Linked DNA regions of Sus scrofa. The protein of the gene in region 1 interacts with the protein of each later gene in a biochemical or structural test. Links are inferred from orthologs where the notes say so. Each region holds a gene or a part of one and is shown in the gene's direction. Other genes may lie near its edges. The genes, in order: DRD2 and NCS1.

Region 1 (12,338 bases):
GCAGGACCACAGACCCTGACAGGCTGTATTCGGACAGCTCCTGTCACCTCATTTCTCAGAGCCTTAGGCTTGTTGTCTGATGGCTTGGTTCTTTGAATTATTTTTCCTTTTTTTTTTTTTTAAAGATTTGGTTTTTCCATGAAGGTTTACCTGTGCCAGCTGCATAAGCATCATCTTACTTAATCCTCACGATAGTAATTGCTTTCCCTATTTTGCAGATGGGAAAACTGAGGCTCAGGAAAGCCAAATAATCAGGTCAAGACCCTGTAAGTAAGGAAGCACCGGTAAGGCTAGGGCTGGGGTTGCACCAGGTGTCCTGGTTTTCAGCCCCCTATGTTATACTAGTCTCCCCTGTGCCACCCCATCAGTGGGGGTGGATTTGCTGACACCAGGACCCCCCCTTGGCCTGATGCTCTCTGACAGCTAGCCAGGCAGCCCCGTGGGTGAGACACGTCAGCCCCAATTAGGAAGCTTGCTGAGGACCCAGGAGGGGCTGGGGCTCACTCTGGCCGCTGGTTAATAGGCTCTACAGGCATTTAGGCATGTTCCGTATTTTCCCACTTTTTTCTATAGTGTAATTATATTACATTTGTATCAGCAAAAAGCAACAAGAGCAATTGAGAATAAATGCTCCATTAGAAAATTAAATGCAATGAGGCCTTTGCAGCCTTGGGTGAGACTTGCTCTGCAGAGTAACCAGCACCACAGAGGATTATGTACTCACCCCAACCCCTCCCCGCGCCCCCCACCCCCTTGCAATTGCCATTGACATTGTACCTGTAATGTAAGTAATGTAAGTCTCCGCTGAAGTTCTCCCCTCTCCAGGAAGCCTTCCGTGACTGGGAGTGCTGGCAACTGTTTGCATCTGGGTCCACCCTCTCAGTGATGGTCCCACTGCTGAGGAGAGATGCCTCTCTCAAGGTCATGCCCTTTGCCTGGGGCATCTCAAAATCTGCGATGTTATGGGAGGAAATGAAGATTTTGTTCGTTTGTTTTTTTAGGGCTGCACCCACGGGCATATGGAAGTTCCCAGGCCAAGGGTCCAATCAGAGTTGCAATTGCCGGCCTACGCCACAGCCACAGCCACGCCAGATCTGAGATGCATCTGCGACCTATACCACAGCACATGGCAACACCAGATCCTTAACCCACTGAGTGGGATTGAACCTGAATCCTCATGAATAATAGGTTCGTTACTACTGAGCTATGGCAGGAACTCCAGGAATGAAGGTTTTGTTTGTTTGTTTTTTAAAGTGTAGTTGATGTACAATGTTTTGTCAATTTCTGCTGTATAGCGAAGTGACCCAGTCATACACACACACACACACACCACACACACACACACATTATTTTTCTCATACAATATTCCATCATGTTCTATCCCAAGAGACTGGATAGAGCTCCCTGTGCTGTACAGCAGGACCTCTTTGCTTATCCATTCTAAATGTAATCGTTTGCATCTACCAACCCCACACTCCCCATCCATCCCACTCCCTCCCCCTCCCCCTTGGCAACCACAAGTCTGAGGAACAAAGTTTTGACTGTGTTGCGTTAATTCAAGCAACTGTGCAAGGCTCGCAGGGGGTGTCACCTGAGGCCTCTGCTGTGACTGTGAAGCAGTTCAACCTCTCTGCTGCCCTGTCCTGCTTCCTTCACTGCCCTGCAAGTCCTAATCCCCAGAGCGCCCTCCAGTGGATCCCCCACATGCCGAATTCTCCTTGGTCTGCTTTCTGACCAACATGTAACACGCATGATATTCTTGGGCTGCATCCCTCATCTGTCACTTGTTCATCTGATGGGCTCTGTTAGCAGTTACATTTCAAGCGTGTGTGTGTGGTGTGTGTGTGTGGTGTGTGGTAGGGGGTTCTTCCCAGTTGGACTCACAGAGATTTTGATTCAGTTCTGCAAACAGCTACTAAACACTTACTATCTGCAAATCACAGCATTAGGAGCTGGAAGAGAAAAACAAGAGAGTTTAGCCCATAAAGAAAATAAGACATGGGCAAGACACAGTGTAAACCTTGAGATAACTACACCCCCATGAACAAAAGAGATGTACAGAGGGAGAATGTTCTGGAACAGAACCGGAAACAAATCCATGCAAGGAAGGAGGGAGATGGCCCAGCCAGGAGGACTTGGGATGGATTCTAGGGCAGAAGGGCTCTGAGCAAGTCTTGCTTTGAAAGACGTGTAGGGACTGGCCGGTAGGGGCAAGGGAAAAGAAGTTTTCTAGAAAACTTTTCTGATGTGTTGAGTGGCGATAAGAATCACAAGCCGTAAAGGTTATTGAAGATAAATGAGATAGCATATATATGTTAAACTTGGCAAACTATCAGATCCTTTCAAGTAGATGAAGTTACTATCGTAGGATCGGATCGTGCTGCAGAAACAGAGGTCTGGTTGGACATGGGGAGTGGGTGGGGTGAGGGAGACAGGAGCTGCGAGTCCTCATTAAATGCCTCGAGCCCTTTCCAGAGAGGAGCTAAAGATGTGGGAGGAGGGGCAGAGAGGGGCCATCAGGGTGGTGGGGGAAGGGAGTGTGCCTCCAGGTCTCCAGGCTCCTGGCAGTGCTTCTTGCCCAGCAAGCTCATTAGATGCTGATTGAGTAAATGAATGGCAGGAGCAGCCCCTGTTGCCTGATCAATACATTCATACAGGTCTCCTGCTGTGTGTTCCACTTGCAAAGAGGCACCAGTGGGCTTGGCAGAGTGAAGGGTCAATATTACCCGGTGCTTCACAACCTTGGAGCTGGTAGCCTTGTTGCATGGGTGACATTAGGCATTTTCTTTCTCTGAGGGGCTCCAGAGTGGTGGTGCTGGCTTGGACATCATCCATCTTCTGAGAGCTGGCAGAGCAGGTGCGTCAGAGGGATGAAGGTGTGGAGGTGGGCAGACCTTCTCCAGGGGCCCCCTCTGACCTGTTGTAGCTGGTGCGCCCTCCTCTCTGATCTGGACATGGTACCACCTTCAAACCAAATGGCATAAATTGCCATTTGGGTAACAAAGCACCCAGAAGTCGTGGGGCTTTGTGTGGAATGCTTGAAATACTGATCGTTTCGTTCCGCTGTGTGAAATAGGAACACTTTTGTTAGCAGGAGAGCCAACCATGTTATATGTGCATTATGTTTCAATCACAACCAAAACACAGGCTGTCAAGCTCATCAATGCCCGCTGCCTCTCAAGCCTGCCTCTGAGCCCCTCTGCTTTTTTTTCTTAGTGAGCAACATCGCCAAGCCTCTCAGAGCAGAACCCAGTGCAGAAATCTGGAGTCATCTCATCTCCTTTTCTCCCTGCTTGCCTCCAGCCCCACTCGCACCCTGCATCTACCCAATGGCCAGATTCCACGAAATTGACTTTCATGTTAGCTGCTGACTCCCAACCCTGCTCTCCACGCTTATTCCCATGCCTTCATTCAGACAACCCCCACCTCTTACCTGAATTGTATCCATGACTTCACACCCCTGTAACATCCCCTCTGCACTGCACAGCCAGCAACCTTTCCAAAACACCAACCCAATGGTGTTCTCATTCCTCTGTACCCAGCGGCTCCGAGCTTATAAGACCTGATCTGGCCCACGAATGGTCCTCCAGTTTAATTTTCCCCAGCTTCACCATCATGCCCTACATTTTTAGCCACATAGAATTATTTGCTGTTTGGGACTGTGCTGTGTGCTCTGCTGGAACATCTCTCCCAACACGGTTGCCTGGCTACCTCCTCCTTCTACTTGATCTCCAGTGATGCCTCCTTCAGGAAGTCTTTTCCCCCGAGATGAGCTGCCCATTCATCAGGGCTCTCAGTGCACAAATGCAGAACCTCATCAGCTCTTCTTGGGTTCCTACAGCCTCCCGGCTGGGGGCCTGCCACCCCACTTAGCACCACGCTTTCATTCTCTATATAGCGGTTGGACTCTTCTTGCTGAAAGGCAAATCTGCTCACGTGGCTCCTGCTTCCCTTAAGGTCAAGTCTAACCTCCATGACTGAGCCTGTTGCAGCCTCCAGTTCAAATCTTGCCAAGCCCTCCATGCTCCAGCTATCCCGAATCTCCTGCCAGCCCTCCGACGTGGCATCCACTCTCCAGCTCTGTCATGTCCACATCTGGCTTCCCTTGGCTGGACCCTTCCCCTGACTCCCCAGTCTTTACCTGACAAATTGCTATGCATCCTTTAGGTGTCTGTTGAACATCGCTTCCGCAGGAAAGCCTTCTTTGAATCCCTACACTTCGGGTGTGTGTCTCTCTCCCCATTTGATTTCCTAGAGCCTAAGACTCCTAGACTTAATTGCTTGGTTAATTGGCTATTGTTTCTTTTAGAATGTGAGCTGGAGAACTGCATCTATTTTGTTCCTGCCTACGTTTCTAGCATTATACAGAACAATGTTCGATAAATATTTACAGAATCAAGAATGAATGATGGCATATTTCTATTCTCACCACTAGAAGTGAAACTCCTGACTACTTTGTCTTAAGTGTGTAGGGCCTGGGATGTGCTTAAGAAGTTATCTGTTGAGTAAATGGATGAATGAATGATCAGCTCTTTTCAAGTTCATTTATTTAATTACACTTAAAAAAAATTTGTGCTTTCTCATTTGTTTTACCTGAAAGAACTTGTTAGCAGAAAAGTGTTGCTGGCTCCAACGTTTTAAGATTTATTTTTTTGTCTTTTTTTGTTTGCTTGTTTTGTTTTTTAGGGTCGCACATGTGGAGGTTCCCAGGCTAGGGGTCAAGTGGGAGCTGTAGCTGCCGGCCTGCACCACAGCCAGAGCAATGCCAGATCCAAGCCACATCTGTGACCTGCACCACAGCTCACGGCAACTGAGTGAGGCCAGGGATCGAACCCGCAACCTCATGGTTCCTAGTCAGATTCATTTCTTCTACGCCACCACAGGTACTCCAAGACAATTTTTGGGATGCAAAAGTTCAAGTCCTGAGGCTGGCAAATTCTCTTTTACCAGCAGGGGTGGGTCTTAGCCCCGGAGCCCTCTGTGCCAGGCAGCATGCTTTGCAAGGTCTCCTGCTCACTTCCTGTGTCCGTGTCTCCTGCCCAGAGCCTGGCCACCCCGTGGCCCCGCTGCCCCAATGGATCCACTGAACCTGTCCTGGTACGATGACGATCTGGAGAGCCGGAACTGGAGCCGGCCCTTCAACGGGTCCGAAGGGAAGGCCGACAGGCCCCACTACAACTACTATGCCATGCTGCTCACCCTGCTCATCTTCATCATCGTCTTCGGCAACGTGCTGGTGTGCATGGCCGTGTCCCGCGAGAAGGCGCTGCAGACCACCACCAACTACCTGATCGTCAGCCTCGCCGTGGCCGACCTCCTGGTGGCCACGCTCGTCATGCCCTGGGTGGTCTACCTGGAGGTAGGTCTGGGCCCCCACCTGCTCCACCGCCCTCCCCAGGAGGGTCTGGGCTCCTCAGTGATTCCTACCGAGAGTGCGCCTTCTCCGGCGGTCTCTTTGGAACCTTGGCCTCGGTCTTATAAAATGGGTAGATCCCAGCTACCGGGTACGGGGTGCCTCCTGAGGGCCGGGCCTGGTGTGTCCGTGACCCACAGCATCCTCCCACTGCGTCCTCGCAGCAGCTTATGATGGGGAGCCAGAGCGTCAGGGAGTTGGGTGACTTCTCCAGCCTCCCGCAGTGGCTGGAACTCAGGCCCCAGCATTGGTTCACGAGGTCATGTTGAAAAGGGGGGTCATAGATGAGGATCCCCAAGAAAGGGAGAGCCTTGGGCTCCCAGGCCTGACAACTTCACCCCTCTCCCCACTTCCAAACAGGGGCTGCCGCCCCAGGCTCTCCTCCCCGCCGTGTGTCCTAGCCTGCGTCTGGGACCTCTGGCCGCTGTTCACCACAGGCTGCTGTGAACCCTGCTGTGCCCCCCTCTCCTCAGGAGGGACCCCATGGTGACCCATTGCTTGGCTGAGAACAGAGCCCAGCTCTGTGCCCAGAATAGTGAGTAGGCAGCCCCCGAGGGGGGCCACAGGTGCGTCACAGACACACACTCAGCAAATACACTGAGTGATCCTGAGTCGATACCAATCTTCTCACTTTAAGGAAGAGAAAGCAGAAGCTTTGAGAACTTGCCCGTCTTCACCCCGATCACACGGCAAAGGGAGGAACCCTGAACTGGGGATTCATGTGCAGGAGGACAGTTTGCTGAGCTGGCAGGCAGAGGAGGGAGGGTCTGGGGGACTGGGGTGGGCACAGGCTGGATCCTGTCCTTTTTGCTGCCCGGGGTCCTGGGAGTCTGGGTGCAGAGGAGGCTGACCGGGCATTCCGAGAAGAGCCAACGCCAGGGTCACTGAGATCTCTGCGCCATTACCTCCCTGCCTTGAACAAGAGGGGGTGTACCTGTGCCATGGAGGGAAGCCCCTGCCTAGGAGGAAAGGGCTGCCACCTTTCAAAGAGAACACGGAACGTTCGTAGTTTGAGCGGAGAAGAAGCCTCTGGGAGAAGATGCAGAGATGGCAGGAGGGGGTGGTTTCCCTGCCTCCACGTCCCCAGAGACTCCTGGGCCACCTGTTGTCACTACCACGCTGGCCCACAGGGAGCTCTGGGCCATCACTCCCTTGGTTTCCTTTAGTCCAGCCAGGCTGGAACTTTCAAGATGACCAGAATTTTAAGAGAGAATCAACAAGAACCAAACAATAGATATAATACAACCTAAAAACATGCAGGTACCGCCAGCCAGGGGTCCAGTTCCTCCATGACCACACGTTTGTAGGGACCCCTAGGCTCTGTTCATCCTGTGTGCTGTTTGATGGCCGATCCCCAGGGAATTGATTCTTGGGCCCATTCCCCTCCTGCTCCCTCATAAAGGAGGTTCCCAGGCCTCAGCCCATCTGGCAGAAATGACAGCGGCCAAGCCAACAACCTCTCTCTGACACGGAGAGGATCACGATGCTTACGTCATAGTGTTGTTTGAGAATCACATGAGCTGAGATATGAAAAGCACTTAGCATGGCAGCAGGCACAGAGCAAGCACTGTGTGAAAGTAGCCATGACAACGAAGATGAAGATGGCAGGAGACAGCCTTGCCGCTGCACATCGAAGGCCCCGCCCTGTGCCCAGGCAAAGAGGGTGCCAGGGAGAGGCATGCTCTGCCCAGGGCTCTGGGCACAGGTTCTGGGACTTCCCAGACGCTCTAAGGGAGGGCAAAATCTGCACACGAGGACTCCGGGAACCTGGAGGTCCTTCACGCAGATGGGTTAAACATACCCATTCATATCATTTAAAGGTGAAGCTCAGAGTTTTAGGAGAGGGTGGAGAAGAGCATCTCGGCGGGCAGTGTTCAAACTCTCCCATCAAAACGAGAGCTGGACAGTGGGCCCCGCCCTCAACATGGTCTCCGCTACTTATTGTCCCTAGAGACTGTCCCAAGCGGAGTCCCACTCCATCCCAACCTCCTGTTAAAGCATCCTCTCAACTATACACTGTACCCTCTCTAAGAGACACCCTTGTTGTCCAGAATTTTCCATCCTGCTCCATTTCTAGTGATGTTAGATGCCTCTGATAGCCTGCCACGTTGGCACCCGGCTAGGTGGACCGGCTGTGCATCACTGATCCTGCTCAGCATGTGGAAAGCACATTGGTTTTGGAGTGAGAGGACTGGCTTCAATTCCTGACTCTACCATTTTCTATCTGGGGATGGTGAGAGAAGAGAGCCAGGGCCCACCTGTCTGCCTGGACCATTTCAGCCTCACAGCGCTCTGAGCGGAGGGTTTCCGGGGTCCACTTTCCAGAGGAGCAGATGTGATTGAGAAAGTGAGCCCACTAAGCTCGCAGTTATTTACTCAGTCAACGTGTAGGAGCACATCTGCATCCTGCCCAACCCTGGGGCTGGAGTCCAAGGCCCTGGAATTATCCAGGAGAGGGAGCAAGGCGCTTGTACTCCAGGCAGAGAAAAAGTGTGCAAAGCCCTGGAGTAGGGGACTCTTGGGGGGTGGGAGGTACCTGGCTTGAGGTTTTGGGGAGCGGTGTCCTCCGAGGTCTGCTGTCACATTCCATAGAAATGAGTGTGAAGGAGTTCCCGTCGTGGCACAGTGGTTAATGAATCCGACTAGGAACCATGAGGTTGTCAGTTCGATCCCTGGCCTTGATCAGTGGGTTAAGGATCTGGCATTGCCATGAGCTGTGGTGTAGGTTGCAGACTCGGCTTGGATGTGGCGTTGCTGTGGCTGTGGTGTAGGCCAGCGGCTACAGCTCCGATTAGACCCCTAGCCTGGGAACCTCCATATGCCGCAGGAGCGGCCCAAGAAATGGCAAAAAAAAAAAAGACAGAAATGAGTGTGAAGCGTTTAGAACCGTGTGTGTGAGACACACAGTAAATGCTTCGTGTGTGCTAGTTAATGTCAGGGTTTAGCCAAGCCAGCTGGAGGCCCGTCCTGCAGGTCTCAGTCTCAGGTGAGCGAGAATGCTGGTGAAGGGTGTCCAAAGGTGTGGAGGAAACAGCACTGTCGGGAGGAGGGGGGACCAGCAAACCTGGGGGCTGGTCCTCCCTCTGCTACTAAATCACCAGGTGATCTTGGGCAAGTCCTTTTTCCTCCCCGACCCCAAGTTCGTCTCTCCTGCAGTTACAGTTGCTCCTATCCCTCTGTGTGTTTCACATAAGCATCTCCTCTTTCGACAAGCTACACGGTCCCTTCCAAGGCAGCGCGGGAGACATCATAGGATGTCCAGCCCCAAGAACTTGCTGCAAACTCCAGCCCTGCTGCATGCCAGCTGGGTGCACCCTCTGAGCTTCATCCCCCCACCCCGCGAGGGGCATAAGCCACCCTCTCTTGCACGGAACAATAAGTGAGGTAAAGCACGTGCCACAGTCGATGCTCTATCACTGCTGGCCACCAGCGTACTTTCGTGTGCCTTTGATTCAACGGCCCCCAACTGCATTCCAGAGCAGTTTCTCCTGGGACCTCAGAGGAAGACCTCCTTCTTCTGAGCTCCATTCCAGAAGGCTTTGTGGGGGGTGGGATTGAGAGCTCTCTAAAGACTGTGTCAGGATTGTCACCACTGTGCCCAGAGTCTAGGACAGAGCCGGACACAGTACATTGCCCAATAAGTGTATGGAAGAAAGAAGGAAGGCAGGGAGGATGAAGAAGATTGCCCGGTAGCTCAGACCTAGATCCCCAGGGGCATGAAAACAGCTGGGACATTGTAGTCCCAGGAGGGCATCAAGGTGTGGCACAGAGCAGGTGGTGCCCTAAAGGTAGAGTCCGTTGATGCCAGGGAAGCCCCTTCTCCCCCCCCTCAACCTCTGTGCCCCCTGGACATCCAGCTCCTGCCTGCCCGCCTGGCCAGAGCTTGGAAACCCACGCTCTATGTGAGCTGCAGAGAAGACAGTGCCACATGAGAGGCTTCTCATCTTCTAGGAAAAGCTGCTATTTCCTCCGTGCGATGCCCATCTCTGCATTTAAACGCCAACAGTTGGTTTTATGCCTGAGAGCAGCAAAGAGGGAAGCACCGAGAATGAATGTTATAATTAGCCCCGCTGCCCCGCTGTGCCCTGCAGAGCGGGGACTGCTCTGCTCTGGTCACAGGATGGAGCTTTCCTGCTCCTCTTCTCTCCAATAGGTTGTAGCCCAAGTCGCATCTCCTCATCCTGACTCTGTCCTCAGAGATGGGGTCTGTTCCAAACCACAGCCGCAGGGCCAGCCTGCTGTGTGCGTGCGTGCATGCTTGTGTGTGTAAACGGGAGGGGTGGGTGTGTGCGTGGGGAGTATGAGTGTGTTTTGGGTGGGGGGGTGGGCGAGGGAGAGGTGAAAAACACTCCTGTCAGGAGCTGGACTCCTTCTTTACACTGCACGTATATACCATTACACACCTTCCCCAGCCCGTTCAGCTCTTCCTGAAGCTCTTCCAGGCCGTCCTTTCATTCTTCAGATGTAAGAAGAAGCAGAAATGTCTTCACTGTTTCAGAGTCACTGTCTTCACCGTAGTTCTTAACAAAGTCTTACCGGGCCCTGACTCTGTGCCACGCACCATGCTGGGCACTGAGGGGGTGCTTCTGCCCAAACCTGGGCCAGGGCAGGGCCAGAAGCCGAGCTGAAAGTCATGCACTTTCCTGTGGCTCAGTTTCCTCACTGGTAACATGAGAATCACAAGCTGTTCACACCAGGGTTTTACAGATGAATATTCCAAGCTGAGGCACTCGTGTAAGTGGTCATGTTTCTTCCAGCAAACTTCTTGGTACAAAGTGGCCTTCTGTGTCTAGAAGGGGAGGGGACTGGGGCAAGAGCCTCAGTCACTCCAGGCACAACCCCCAACTGCTGGCCCTCTTCTTCCCCAGCGGGCGTCCCATAAGACCCCCAGCGAGCCTGGGGGCCGATCTGCCTCAGGAGACCGAGAGACAGTGCCTAATCTCTGCTGTCCACCCATTATGTTGCTTTGTCCCCAGGTGGTGGGCGAGTGGAAATTCAGCAGGATTCACTGTGACATCTTTGTCACTCTGGACGTCATGATGTGTACAGCGAGCATCCTGAACCTGTGTGCCATCAGCATCGACAGGTGAGCCCAGGGCGGGAGAGGGGACCCAGACCATTTGCCTCTTAAGCTGCCCCACCACTCCTCAGGATCAGGCTCTGTCCATGATGCTCCAAGGCTGGCTGTGCTTGCAAGTCCACGTGTTTGTGTGTACATGTATGCATGTATGCATATCGGGGTGGGGGGGTTCATATGTGTCTGACGGGGAGAGGACAGACCGCCCCCTTGCCCCCAGAGGCTGTTTATGGGCAGGGATGCTACCAAAACCATCTAGACAGGGACTAGTATACAGAAGAAAGCATGTGGAGTTCCCACTGTGGTGCGGTGGAAATGAATCCGACAAACAGCCGTGAGTATACGGGTTTGATCCCTGTGGTGTAGGTCACAGATGAGGCTCGGATCTGGCATTGCTGTAGCTGTAGTGTAGGCCAGCAGCTATAGCTCTGATTCAACCCCTAGCCTGGGAACTTCCATATGCTGTGGGTACAGCCCTAAAAAAGCAAAAAAAAAAAAAAAAAAAAAAAAGAATAAAGCCCTAGCTCTGTCACCTCTTATGTGACCAAGGTGTATTGTGAAAGGTCTCAGAACCCTAGTTTCATTGTCTAGAAACCAAAAATGATGCCACTTGTGCACATGCAGCTCTAGCTTCTGGTTGTGTGTTTTACGTCCAGCACAGGGCCCATGGCCACCGGGGCCCAGGTTGTGCTTACCTTGCTTAGCTGTATCTTTGGAGCCTTTTGCTAATTTGCATGCACAGGCTACAGGGACTCCCAGAGGTCCTGGCCCCACTCTTCTTGCAGGATTCTTGGAAGATGCATGGAACTAATGTCTGAGAAGGGCTGGGGAGAGCCATGTGGGGCATCATAAATAATTCCCATTGACATTATTTTCTTCTGAATGAGACCTAACCTTTGCTTTGAGGGCCCTGGCTACCAATCTACCCACAAACACTTCCACCCTCCATGGGCCCAACACAGGTGCAGTGCAGTGTACAGTTTCAAAGGTGCAAAGACCTGGGCCATGGTCCCTCAAAAAGCCTGAAATCTGAGCAGGGAGTCTGGAGTAGTAGATGCGGTCCAAGATTGAATGGTAGCTGGTCAGTCATTAAGCACATGATTGAGCATCACCAATGGTCCTCCCCGTCCGAGTCGGGGACAGGAGAGAGGGCTGATGGAGAGCAGGCAGGAGGTGGACCAACTGTCCATCCCCCCAAAGCGGAGCATCTCCGTTGTGTGCATGTTGTGGAGTGAGGGGTCCCTGGGTCCACACCCCAGATTCAGGGTGCCCACCCTGCGCCCTTGCAGGTACACAGCTGTGGCCATGCCCATGCTCTACAACACACGCTACAGCTCCAAGCGCCGAGTCACCGTCATGATCGCCATCGTCTGGGTCCTGTCTTTCACCATCTCCTGCCCGCTGCTTTTTGGACTCAACAACACAGGTGAGTCCTACCTCCGTCTGCCTGGGGCCCAGCTGGCCCCGGCTCCTGTGCAGGACCCTAAAGGACCCTAAAGGAGCTGAATCCTGGTGTGGACACTGGTGGAGGCCCAGCTGGGGCTTGTTTGCCACTCTGGACTGAGGCCAGGCTGGGTCTTCTAGCCAAGCCTGACTGTGCTTGGTACTGTACTCGGTTGTGCTTGGTAAGGTCAGAGAGGAACAATGGCCTGGAACACAGTGGAAATGGGTGAGGCGTGGGGATAATGATCCAGGAGGATGCCTGGTTATTTTCAACCTTGCTTATTAATGTGAAGCAGACCAGACAGCCTTGCAAAATATATGTGTACTTATGTGTGTATGCACACACGGGGGAGGCTGGGCCTCCATCACCCTTGCAATGGTGTTTGTATAATGAGGCTGCAGCCC
Region 2 (11,672 bases), on another chromosome or scaffold:
TCTAATAATCTTTTAGACTCACTCAAGTAACACAGCCATTGTGGGGGGTGGGGGGAAGGTCTGGGGGAACATGCCAGGGGAGGGGAATGGCCCCATCCGGACCTCCAGGGCTGGCTGTGCCCACACATGGGTCCCCTCCTCCTGCCCAGGCCCCCAGGTCTGGACTCCTCCCTGGTTCTGGGTCCTGCCTTGCTCCTTTCTGACCTCTGGCCTCAGTCACTTAGCCCCAGAATTCCCCAGGCTCCCTCTTTCTGGTGCCCTGCGTGTGTCCCTTGCTCAGCCCAGGCCCCTGAGACGGTTCTCTGACGGGAGGGGGGACAGTGGCTTCTCCACACACTCCTTCTGTTTGGTCCCCAGTCACGGCACCACCAGCAATTCTCTGGACATGACGGGCAGCGTGGAGTCTTCTCGGGTGCCCTGGGTGGGCCCAAGGACCTTGGGGCAGGCGGGGACGTCCTTGGCAAGCCCGTGTCTCTGAGTGTCAGGCCCCGTCAGCCGTCTGCGTCAAACCCTGCCTTGGCTCCAGTCTGGGCTGCGAAGACGTGCACATCTCCCCGTGTCGGAGCCTCCGTTTCCTCATCTTTACTTATTTATTTATTTGGTCTTTTTTTTTTTTTGAGGGCTGTGCCTGCAGCATATGGACGTTCCCAAGCTATCAGTTGAATTGGAGCTACAGCTGCCGGCCTATGTCACAGCCACAGCAATGCCAGATCCAAGCCACGTCTGCCACCTGCATCACAGCTCACGGCAACGCTGGATCCTTAACCCACTGAGAAAGGCCAGGGATCAAACACACATCCTCATGGAATCTAGTCGGGTTCATTACCGCTGAGCCACGACGGGAACTCCAGTTTCCTCATCTTTAAAATGGGCTTCATGGAGTTCCTGCTGTGGCTCAGAAGTAATGAGCCCAACTGGTATCCATGAGGACGCAGGTTTGATCCCCGGCCTTGCTCAGTGGGTTAGGGATCCGGCGTTGCTGTGAGCTGTGGTGTAGGTCACAGACATGGCTTGGATCTGGCATTGCTGTGGCTGTGGTGTAGGCTGGCAGCTACAGCTCTGATTCGAACCCTAGCCCGGGAACCTCCATATGCTATAGGTGCACCCCCCAAAAAAAAATATAAAGTAAAATAAGATAGGCTTCATCGTAAGTACTTGGCTCATGGGGCTGTTATGGGCGTTCCAGGAGAATGAGATTTGCAGTGTTTCTGGCAGGGAGAGGCCCAGCGGAGGTCGTAGCTGGTAGCGGGTAACAGCCAATCAATCCTTCTCTCTAGCCTCCCTTTGTGCTGGGAATCCTCCTCCAAGGAATGTGTGGCCCGACTGGAATTGCCGAGCCACATGCAGGAGCCAACTTGTGAAGTGATTTAAAGAAACATACACTAAAAATCATGATATTGGTTATTATTATTATTATTTTGGCTTTTTTAGGGCCACACCTGTGGCATATAGAGGTTCCCAGGCTAAGGGCTGAATTGGAGCTGTAGCCGCCGACCTACAGCAATGCTGTACCCCAGCCGCATCTGCGACCTACACCACAGCTCACGGCAACGCCGGATCCTTAACCCCCTGAACAAGGCTGGGGATTGAACCCGTGTCCTCATGGATACCAGTTGGGTTCATTAAGTGCTGAACCATGACGGGAACTCCAACATTGATTTGTTTTTATGTCTAGCCCTGTGCCAAGGATGCTACGTCATCATCTTACCCAGTCCCCACAGGATGGGTGCAATAGCTCTTCCTGTTTATAGAGGAGGAGGGTTAGGCTCAGAGAGGCGGAGGCACTTGCCTGAGGATGCACAGCAAGCAAGTGGCAGAACCTGGCTTTGGGCTTCGAAGCCCTGTTGCCCTCAGCTGGCCGGGTATCTGAGTGTCCTGTGGTGGGCACTGGGAATGCCGTGTGGACAGGTCGCACTGGAAGCCACGAGCTTGCTGGGCTGCTGTTTACACAGTTCCCTGGGAACAGAGGCAGGGGAGCGGGTGTGTGCACGCTGGGGGGTGCAGTCATGTGGGAGGAGCCAGCTGCCAGCCCCATATGGTGGCTCTGCCCACCAGCACCACCAGCATTGCCAGCCTGCCTGGCTCTGTAGTGCCGGGAGGGGCTCAGTGGAGAAGGTGGGGGAGGTGGGAGTGCCTCGTGCGAGAGAGAGCGAGGCTTCAGGGAGGCTGTTCGTTTGAGTTTGGCTTTAGTCCCCTGGGTGGAACGGGGGGCTGAGTGGCCAAGTGACTCTTATCCTCCTGGTACAGACGAGGCTCAGAGAGGTCTAGCCACCTGTCCCAGGTCACACAGCCAGCAAGAGGCAGAGGTGGGATGAGCCCCCTGCCTGTGGTGTCCAGGTCTGGGCTCCCAAGCCCAGGTGGCACTGTCTGTCTGGACAGGCACTCAGAGTCTCCTGGGTCCGGGGCCCAAGCTCTCAGCAGGTGGGCGTGATGCTGGCGTTTCTTTTACTCTCTCACCTGGTCTCTATTTCCAGGTACAAAGGCTTCATCAAGGACTGCCCCAGTGGGCAGCTGGACGCGGCGGGCTTCCAGAAGATCTACAAGCAGTTCTTCCCGTTTGGAGACCCCACTAAGTTCGCCACGTTTGTTTTCAATGTCTTTGATGAAAACAAGGTGAGCTGGAGATTGACGGGCTGCACCAGCCGGAGCCTCCCCTTCCTGAGGCAGCCTGCTTCCCGGGTACCCGCAGCGTCTCCACACCCACGCGCACCTGCTGATGTTCCCTCTGCAGAAGGAACAACCACGTGTGCACTCACACACACACATACACACACAAATGCACGCTTGCATATACAAAGATGCATACAAATGTACGTGTGCACAAACACGAACACACGTGCACTCATGTAACATACAAATGCATGCATGTGTGTACATTGCATAAACTCACACATGTACAAGGCACCCACAGAGATACATGTGTGCACATGCCTATTGTGCACAGACATGTGTGTACACACCCATGCACACATAGGTACGCCTTGACCTTTTTCTTTTTCTTTTTTTGCTTTTAGGGCTGCACCTGCGCCATATGGAGATTCCCAGGCCAGGGGTCGAATCGGAGCTACAGCTGCCAGCCGACACTAGAGCCACAGCAATGCGGGATCCGAGCCGCGTCTGCAACCTACACCACAGCTCATGGCAACGCCGGATCCTTAACCCACAGAGCAAGGCCGGGGATCGAACCCACATCCTCATGGATACTAGTTGGGTTTGTTACCACTGAGCCACCATGGGAACTCCTTGACTCTTTTCTTACAAAGCGCAAAAGGCAAGTGTCTTCAGGAATGATGACAGGATTTATAATCATAACTTGTATTTACTGAACATTTTCTATGTACTAAGGCCTTTATGTGGATTGTTTGTAGCGAGACCTTAACAAGCAACTACCTGTAAAGGATGCCTTTTAAATGCCCCCATTTTGCAGATGAGGAAACTGAGAATCCCATAATGTGGCATCGTTGATGCCCAAGCATCGTGTTTTCGAGGCTTGTCTGGGTTGGAGTCTGTCCCCTCCTGGTGACAGACGCCCTGACGGGTGGCAGGTCCACCGCTGAGGCATCCGTGGTTCTCCGGCCTCGGTCCCACACCGGCGTTTTTCCTGGCTCCCTGGTGTTCACGGTGGACTTAGTGTAACTTGTTTCTACACTCCGTGTTGTTGGGCGTGTGGGTTGTTTCTACTCGGTCACGCCCTGGCTTTCTCCGCAGGTGGCCCCTGCTGACGGCCACCCTGCCTGGCCCTGGGAAGAACTCTGTCCTCTCCAAGCCTCAGTTTCCTTATCGGCAAAACAAATAGGATCGGACAGTCCAGAGCCCCACCTTCTAAAGCCTCTGTGCCTGTGGTTCAAGGCCAAGGGTCTGAGAGAGGGGATTCTGGGCGGCTCCTGCCCAGAGAGGGTCACGGGCGCTGGGGGTGCCTCTTCCTCCCGCCAGATGTGGAGTCAAGCTCTCCCTCTGGCCTTACCCTGTCCCTCCTGCCTGGTCGGTCCCATTTCTGGCCCTCCCCTCCCCCTCCTTCCCCATCCCTCACCCCTGCGTCTGCTTAGCTACCTGCTTCTGCCCATCACCACCTGCCCAAGGTGCGTCCTGACCGGGCAGCTCAGCATTTACCCCCATCCCTCTCTCCCTGCCGCAGGACGGGCGGATTGAGTTCTCCGAGTTCATCCAGGCGCTGTCGGTGACCTCGAGGGGAACCCTGGACGAGAAGCTGCGGTGTAAGTCCTGCCCGCTGGGCTCCGTCGGGCGGCCGCTGGGTCGTCCTGGGCTGGAGGGAGGCCAAATCTCTGGGCCAGGCCGTCTGTCCAGGACTGAGGGTGGCACAGACGTCCTGCCCTTCCAGGTCGGAGGTGGTTTCCTGGAGGCGGCCAGGCGGGTGGACAGATGGGGCAGGAGCACAGGGCATTCTCGAAGGTGCACCTGGCGCCGGGCAGCGTGCGGTTCAGACCCGGTTCCAGGGCTGGATCCAGCACTCGGGAGGCTGTTTGGATGACTGACGGCGTGTGTCCATTTACTGGTTCACCTAACAGTTATTGACCTAACGTGGCCTCATGTCTGTGCTGGGCTGGAGGCCCGGAATCCACAGGTGTATGAGATCGAGGGGCACCTGCTCTCGTGGCTGTCCCTGTAGCTCAGGGACTTTATCCAAAAGAGCCCATAAAACTGCAGCCGGGGCTGGAAGAGGGAGGTGTGAGCCGATCAGAGAGGAACTGACCCTGTTATGAGTTGGGAGCCGAGCTGGGAAGGGTGAAGCTGGCAGGGGGTCGGGGGGCGGGAAGAGGGTTCCAGGCAGGGGATCAGCATGTGCGAGGCCTGAGGAGGGTCGAGAGAAGGCTACTGGGGGAGAGGCTGCACCCGTGCTGGCGCGAGAGGGGATCTAGCAGGAAGATGAAAGCAGCTGGGCCGGGATTCACTTCCCACTGAGACAACTTCACCGCATCGCATCGGCACCGAGAAAGCACTGCAATTTCTTTCTTTCTCTTTTTAGGAATAAAAGAGGATTTTATTTATGCCAAAGCTCCTCCCCCCTCCCTAGGCATATTATTTTCTTTTCCAAGTTGACCCTAGCTGGATCCAGCATAGTTGTGGAAAGGGGGTGGGCCGAGAGGAGGCAGAGGCAGGGGTGGGGAAGGAGAGGGGTGGCTTTAGGGCTGCTCCTGGGCTCCCTTCTGTCTCTCAGCATCAGCCTCCGAGGCCTCAGCTCTTACAGACCCAGCCCCCTCGGTTTATGTTTTGGCTGTGCCTGCGGCCTATGAAAGTTCCCAGGCCAGGGATCGAACCTGCACCACAGCAGTGACCCAAGCTGCTGCAGTGACAAGGCCAGATCCTTAACCCGCTGCACCACAAGAGAGCTCTGCCCCCTCCTTTTTACATTTACGCTTTTTCAGTAACTAGGTGACATGGTGTGTGTGTGTGTCCCCTGTCTGTCTTGGCGGGATGAATAACGGGGCTGTTGGCGGGGTGCCGAGGGGAGGGGGAGCGGCCGCCAGCCCAGCCCCGGATCAGGGCTCACTCGCCCTGGCTGCTTGACTGCAGGGGCCTTCAAGCTCTACGACTTGGATAACGACGGCTACATCACCAGGAACGAGATGCTGGACATTGTGGATGCCATTTACCAGATGGTGGTGAGAGGCCTGGGCCCTGGGGGTGTGGGGGTGGGGGCAGCAGCAGGGCATCAAACTCAGCGATGGGGCCTGGCCCAGAGGCGGCATCCCCACGCGGCCGCCCTCCTGCCTGGGGTGGGAGCTGGCAAGTGAGGGTCACTGCCTGGGGTTGCTCTGTGCCTCTTGGGGGAGGGCGGGGGCTGCTGATGGGGCTGGTCCAGAGCAGAGGGCGGATGGGGGCACGGCAGGGAGTGGGAGGGAGACGCAGTCTTCACCTGGAACCAGTTCAGGTCTGGGGGGCATGGTTGGGGGCCAAGGGCCCAGAGGGCAGAGGGCCAGGAGCCGGCCCCACCTCGCCTGTCCCCGACAGGGCAACACCGTGGAGCTGCCAGAGGAGGAGAACACCCCCGAGAAAAGGGTGGACCGGATCTTTGCCATGATGGACAAGGTGAGACCCCTGGTGTGATGGCCACTGGTCCAGCCCGCAGACATGCAGGGTTTTAAGTCAGTTCGTCCAACCCTTTTTCCTTAACTCAGCTTCTTAACCTTTTCAGTTTTTGCCACAGACCCCTTTGACATTCTGGAGAAGCTGTCTCAGAATGTTTTTAAGTGCATCAGATAACATTCGTAGGGTCAAAAAGAAAGCTATTTTGGAAGAGACTTATCCCATTTTTTTTGGCCACACCTGTGGCATGTGAAAGTTCCCGGGCCTGGGATTGAACCGGTACCATAGCAGTGACCTGAGCTGCTGCAGTGACACCACCAGATCCTTAACCTTCTGTGCCACAAGAGAATGCCTCAAAATATTTTTTAAAAAGTATTTGTGATGTGGTTTTATATGAGCTGCTTCTTCTTTTTTTTTTTTCTTTTGTCTTTTTAGGGCCGCATCCGCGGCATGTGGAGGTTCCCAGGCTGGGGTCTAATCAGAGCTGTAGCCGCTGGCCTACACCACAGCCACAGCAACGCCAGATCCGAACTGTGTCTTCGACCTACACCACAGCTCATGGCAACGCCAGATCCGTAACCCACTGAGAGAGGCCAGGGATTGAACCTGCAACCTCATGGTTCCTAGTCGGATTCGTTTCCGCTGCACCACGATGACGGGAACTCCCTTTTTTTTGTCTTTTTAGGGCCGCACCTGCGGCATATGGAGGTTCCCAGGCTAGGGGTCTAATCGGAGCTGTAGCTGCCAGCCTACACCACAGCCACAGAAACAAGGGATCCGAGCCACATCTGCTACCTGCACCACAGCTCACGGCAACGCTGGGTCCTTAACCCACTGAGCGAGGCCAGGGATCGAACCCACAACCTCATGGTTCCTAGTCAGATTCGTTAACCACTGAGCCACAACGGTGGCTGATAAGGTTGAGTGGTGGGTTTAACCAGCCCGAATTTCAAAGTGCTGATCTGTCTTCTTGATGCTTTGCAGCAGCTGTGATGTGTTACAAAAATGCTGTGATCTCCACAGCTGACAAAGTCACAGGTACTTCTGGTTCCATGGGGGATTGTCACCTAGATTCATTATGGAAGGAAGCGCTAAATTTCAGTTAGATGTTAGTGAAAAGAAAGACCTCCTTTTTCCCTATTTTAGTTCACAGACCTGCTGAATTCTATCCAAAGACCCCAGGTTAAGAAAGCCTTCTTTTTTTTTTTTTTTTGTCTTTTTAGGGCTGCACCCACGGCTTATGGAGGTTCCTAGACGAGGGGTCGAATCAGAGCTATAGCTGCCGGCCTACACCACAGCAAGAGCAACGTGGGCTCTGAGCCGCATCTTCAACCTACACCACAGCTCATGGCAACGCTGGGTCCTTAATCCACTGAGCAAGGCCAGGGATCGAACCTTCGGCCTCATGGATACTAGTTGGGTTCATTAACCACTGAGCCATGACGAGAACTCTAAGAAAGCCTTCTTTCTAAACGCCAGATCCTCAACCCACTGGGCAAGGCCAGGGATCGAACCCACAACCTCATCGTTCCTAGTCGGATTCGTTAACCACTGAGCCACGATGGGAACTCCCTCTATCAAACTTTTTTAAAAACCTGGAATCACTTTGTTTGAAATGGGAATTTGATATTCTGATGGTAAGGAAGCCTGGTATTGCTTGCCTTAATTAAGTAAAAGAACACAAATGACAGTGACCTTGGGTTTATTATGACATGCTGGCTGGGTACAGGTGCTTGCCCTGGAAGCTATGAGCCTGAAGCCTTACTTTCTTACTTGAAAAAAAAAAAAATGAGATCAGCCCATGTCAGAGACACGCAGGCTCAGACGGCGCTGAGCTCCTGGTCAGAATCAACAGGCGTGTCCACAGAGTGTGCAGCAAAGAACATGAACTTTGCCGCGGAGCTGGCGGGGTCGTTCAAAGTTTTTAACACCCAAAGTGTGAAATCTACCCCCGCCCCCAATTCAGACCTCCCTTATTTTAGGAAGCAAAGCCCACGCTGGAGTCAGACCGGGCCCAAAGCTGGCTTCCCTGGTTAGCAGCCAGGGAACCCTGGGTAGGTGACTGAGCCTCCCCTATAAAAGGGTGATAGGAGCGGTCCCTCTCCTTGATGGCTCTGAGGACCCCGGAGAGCAGGCGTCCTTGGTGACGAGCGGGGCACTCGGCGTCGACACTGTTGTTGGAACCCTCGTCACTCTCTCCGTCTCTGGGGGCTGGACGTGGGGTCGGTGGTCTCTAAGGCCTTTTTCTTTTGCACTCATGGGTTTCCTTGCAAGATGCTTCAGGGGACGGGACGCTGGCCCAAACCCTTTCCTCCCACAGGAGACCCACTAAAGCCCCTCTACATGGCTTCCGTCCAGCCTGCTAGCCGGTCTCCCGGGGTCCAGGGTTGCGTGCTCCAGGAACGGCTTAAATGCCCTTCCAAAGGTGACCCCAGAGACGTGCATCAGGCTCTCGGCCCTGTGGGATTAACCGCCCTTTCAGGGCATGAACAGCAGTGATGGGGCGATTCCGGTCTGCCAAGCACTGTGCACAGCTTGAGCTCAAGGAGTGCTCGCCCCCGTGCCCTGAAGAAGCCGTGCCACTTTGTGCAATCCCCAGACGAGGAAAGCAGGGCCCAGAGAGGTGGGTGGTGTGGCCAAGGTCACCCAGGCTGCATGGGCCCGGGTCTGTCCACGCCTGACTCCTCTCCCCTGGTGAAGGGCGTTGCCTCCCGCCTGACCACCCTCGCTTGGGACCAGCCCTGGGCTGGGCTTGAGGAGGGAGCATCCAGGGCCCAGGCCCCTGTCCCTTCACCTCCAGCCTCCTCTCTCTGCTTGCAGAACGCCGACGGGAAGCTGACGCTGCAGGAGTTCCAGGAAGGCTCCAAGGCAGACCCGTCCATCGTGCAGGCGTTGTCCCTCTATGACGGGCTGGTATAGTCCAAGGCCCAGAGTGGGGTGAGTGGAAGGGGGTGTGGGGCGTGGTGGGGGGTGCTGGGGGCAAACCCAGCCACAGGACACCTAGGGTTTCCTGGGGGTGCTTGGGGGTCTGCCCAGTTGGAGCCTCCATAGTAGGGAGAGACCAGGAGGCAGGGTCTTCAGATCAGCCAGGGCTCCTCTGTTTTTGTCATTTGAATGGTACCCAGCTTCCGGAGTTCCCTTGTGGCTCAGTGGGTTAAGGATCTGGCATTGTCACTGCTGTGGCTTTGGTTACAGCCTTGGTGCAGGTTCGACCCCTGGCCCAGGAATTTCTGCATGCCTTGGGCTGCAGCCAAAATAATAATAATAATAATAATAATAATAATATACTCTTCTTTGATCTTTTTTTTTTTTTTTTTTTTGGCTGCCTGCACAGCATGTGGAAGTTCCCAGGCCAGGGATCGAACCCACGCCACAACTGTGACCATGCTGGATCCTTAACCTGCTGAGCCCGCAGGAAACTCCTCATAGACCCAGATTCAGCCTGAGAGTTGACTTGAAAACCCATTGAAAATCACAGTTCTCGGCCAGGGCCAGGGTCCTGGGCAAAGAGGGCTTTCTCCTTCCTCCCTCCTCTGTCTGGGTGGCTGAAGACCTCAGCTCCTGGCTCTCTTGCTCAGTAGCTCAAACGGAGTTTCTTGTCTCACCCACTTGGATCTGCTGGATGATAACACGCCCACAGAGGCGTCTGTCTGCTGGCAGAGAACTAACCCCTGGGGTCCTGTCCAGCTAGAAACACTGTCGTAGGTGTCTTGTGGTGGATGAATGATGCTTTCTGCTGATTTATATCTAAGAGGAGAACTGTTGGGATGTAGAATACGTGTATGTTTAACTTTAGAGATACTACCAGACCGTCTTCCAACGTGGTGGTACCATCTCCGACTCCCACTCATGTCCTGTGAGTCCGCCAATTGCTCCACAGCCTTGCCAACAATGTTGGATGGTCTCTGTCTTTTAAAATTTCAGCCATCTGGGTGGGCGTGTGGGAATAGCTTGTGGTCACCTTAATTTGCATTTCTCTGATGATTGCTGAGGTCGGGCCCCTTGGCGCCTGTGCATCCCTCATTTTATCGTCATCTTTTGGGAAGCGCTGTCTTAGTTAAATCTGTTGCTCTGTACTGTGGTACTGCAATGCAGCAGCTGAGAAGAACAAACATCGGGAATGTGGGTACAGCTTTACTGGGAGCCTTTGACTTAAGGTCTCCCATGAAGATGCTGTCAAGCTGTCAGGAGGGTGACCGACCACCCCAGTTTGTCCAGGACTGTCCTGGATTTAGCGCTGCAAGTCCCATGTCCTGGGAAACCCCTCTGTCTCAGGTAAACTGGGACAGTAATGATCAGCTGTTGGCCAGGGCTGCAGTCTCATCTGAAGTCTTGGCTGGTGCTGATCCCCTCCTAATCACACTCGTTTGCTGTGGCAGCCTTGCCATGTGGCCTGCTGCACAGGGCTGCCCAGCAAGCTTCCCCCAGGGTGAGCTTCCTAGGAGGGAGGGAGAGAAAGAGAACCCAGAATGAAAGCACAGTCTTTTTATAACCTAATCTTGGGACGCAGCATCTCATCACTTCTTTTTCAAGAATGCCTTGGTTACTTTAGGCTATTTGCATTTCTATGTATGTTTTAGAAACGACTTATAAATGTCCTCACACACACACACACACACACACACACACACAAGCTGAGGATTTGATTGGGATTGAGTTGAATCTACAGTTCAGTTTGGGGGAGAATTTTGGCATCTTTAGAACATTGACTCTTCCAGTCCATGAACATGGTATATCTCTGTTTATTTCAGTCTCTAAAATTTTTTTCTGTATAACATTTTGCCGTTTTTGGCTAAAAGGTCTTTCACATCTTTTAGTAGGTTTATTTGTAGGTATTTGATGGTTTTGATGGTATTTTAAATAGTAATTTTACAGTTATGTTTTCTGTTTGTTTTCTGGTTTATCTAAATTCAATCTTTTTTTTTTAAATTGATCATATGGCTATGGTCTTGCTAACATCATTTATTTAATCTAAGGGTTTGCCTTTGATTCTTTTGGGTTTTCTGTGTTTTATTTCTTCCTTTCCTATACCTCTGCCTTTTGTTCCTTTTTCCTGCTTCCTTGCCCTAGTTGGGCTCTCCAGTTGCATAGGAGTAATGAAGGTGAGCATTCTTGTCTCACTCTGGATTGTGGGGGGAAGCTTTCAATAATTTACCATTAGTTAGGATGTTCATTATAAGTCTTTTGTAGATAGATTTTTATCAGATTTAGGAAGTTTCCTTCTTTTCTAGTTTGCTAATTACAGTTTTTAAAAGTCATGAATGATTTTGAATTTTATCAAAAACACTTTCTGCATTCATCAAGGTGTTTATATGGCTCCCCCACCCCCCCACTTTTTGTTGTTAGTAAGTTACACTGATTGCTTTTTCATGCGAAGCTACCCATGATGTGTTCTTAGGTATCATCAGATTTGATTTGCTGATATTTTGCTTAGGAAGGCTGTCCTGAAGCGTCTAGTGTTGCTCGTATTTTACACAAGGCATCCTTTTTCATGGAAGAGACATTAGAAGACATGTTTAAAAAGAAAACCTCAAATAAGAAGTTTATTTTTTAAAAAACCTTCTTATATAACCCAGAAATAACCACTGTGAACATTTTGTGTCCAGAGTGATTCAGAAAGAATTGAA

The links.
Region 2: the proteins of DRD2 (region 1) and NCS1 form a complex in vitro, tested with the Homo sapiens proteins (2 studies listed by BioGRID, with this or other methods). The link is inferred for Sus scrofa from reciprocal best matches to the Homo sapiens genes DRD2 and NCS1.

What each region holds. Positions count from the first base shown.
Region 1 is NC_010451.4:41,076,111-41,088,448, reverse strand, and holds the start of DRD2 (D(2) dopamine receptor), read left to right. Parts: upstream 1-5,060; 5' UTR 5,061-5,074; coding exon 5,075-5,359; intron 5,360-10,389; coding exon 10,390-10,499; intron 10,500-11,779; coding exon 11,780-11,916; intron 11,917-12,338. UniProt on the Homo sapiens protein: Dopamine receptor whose activity is mediated by G proteins which inhibit adenylyl cyclase. Positively regulates postnatal regression of retinal hyaloid vessels via suppression of VEGFR2/KDR activity, downstream of OPN5.
Region 2 is NC_010443.5:270,311,447-270,323,118, forward strand, and holds part of NCS1 (neuronal calcium sensor 1), read left to right. Parts: intron 1-2,474; coding exon 2,475-2,613; intron 2,614-4,135; coding exon 4,136-4,214; intron 4,215-5,532; coding exon 5,533-5,621; intron 5,622-5,970; coding exon 5,971-6,048; intron 6,049-8,865; coding exon 8,866-8,964; 3' UTR 8,965-8,982; intron 8,983-11,672. UniProt on the Homo sapiens protein: Neuronal calcium sensor, regulator of G protein-coupled receptor phosphorylation in a calcium dependent manner. Directly regulates GRK1 (RHOK), but not GRK2 to GRK5. Can substitute for calmodulin. Stimulates PI4KB kinase activity.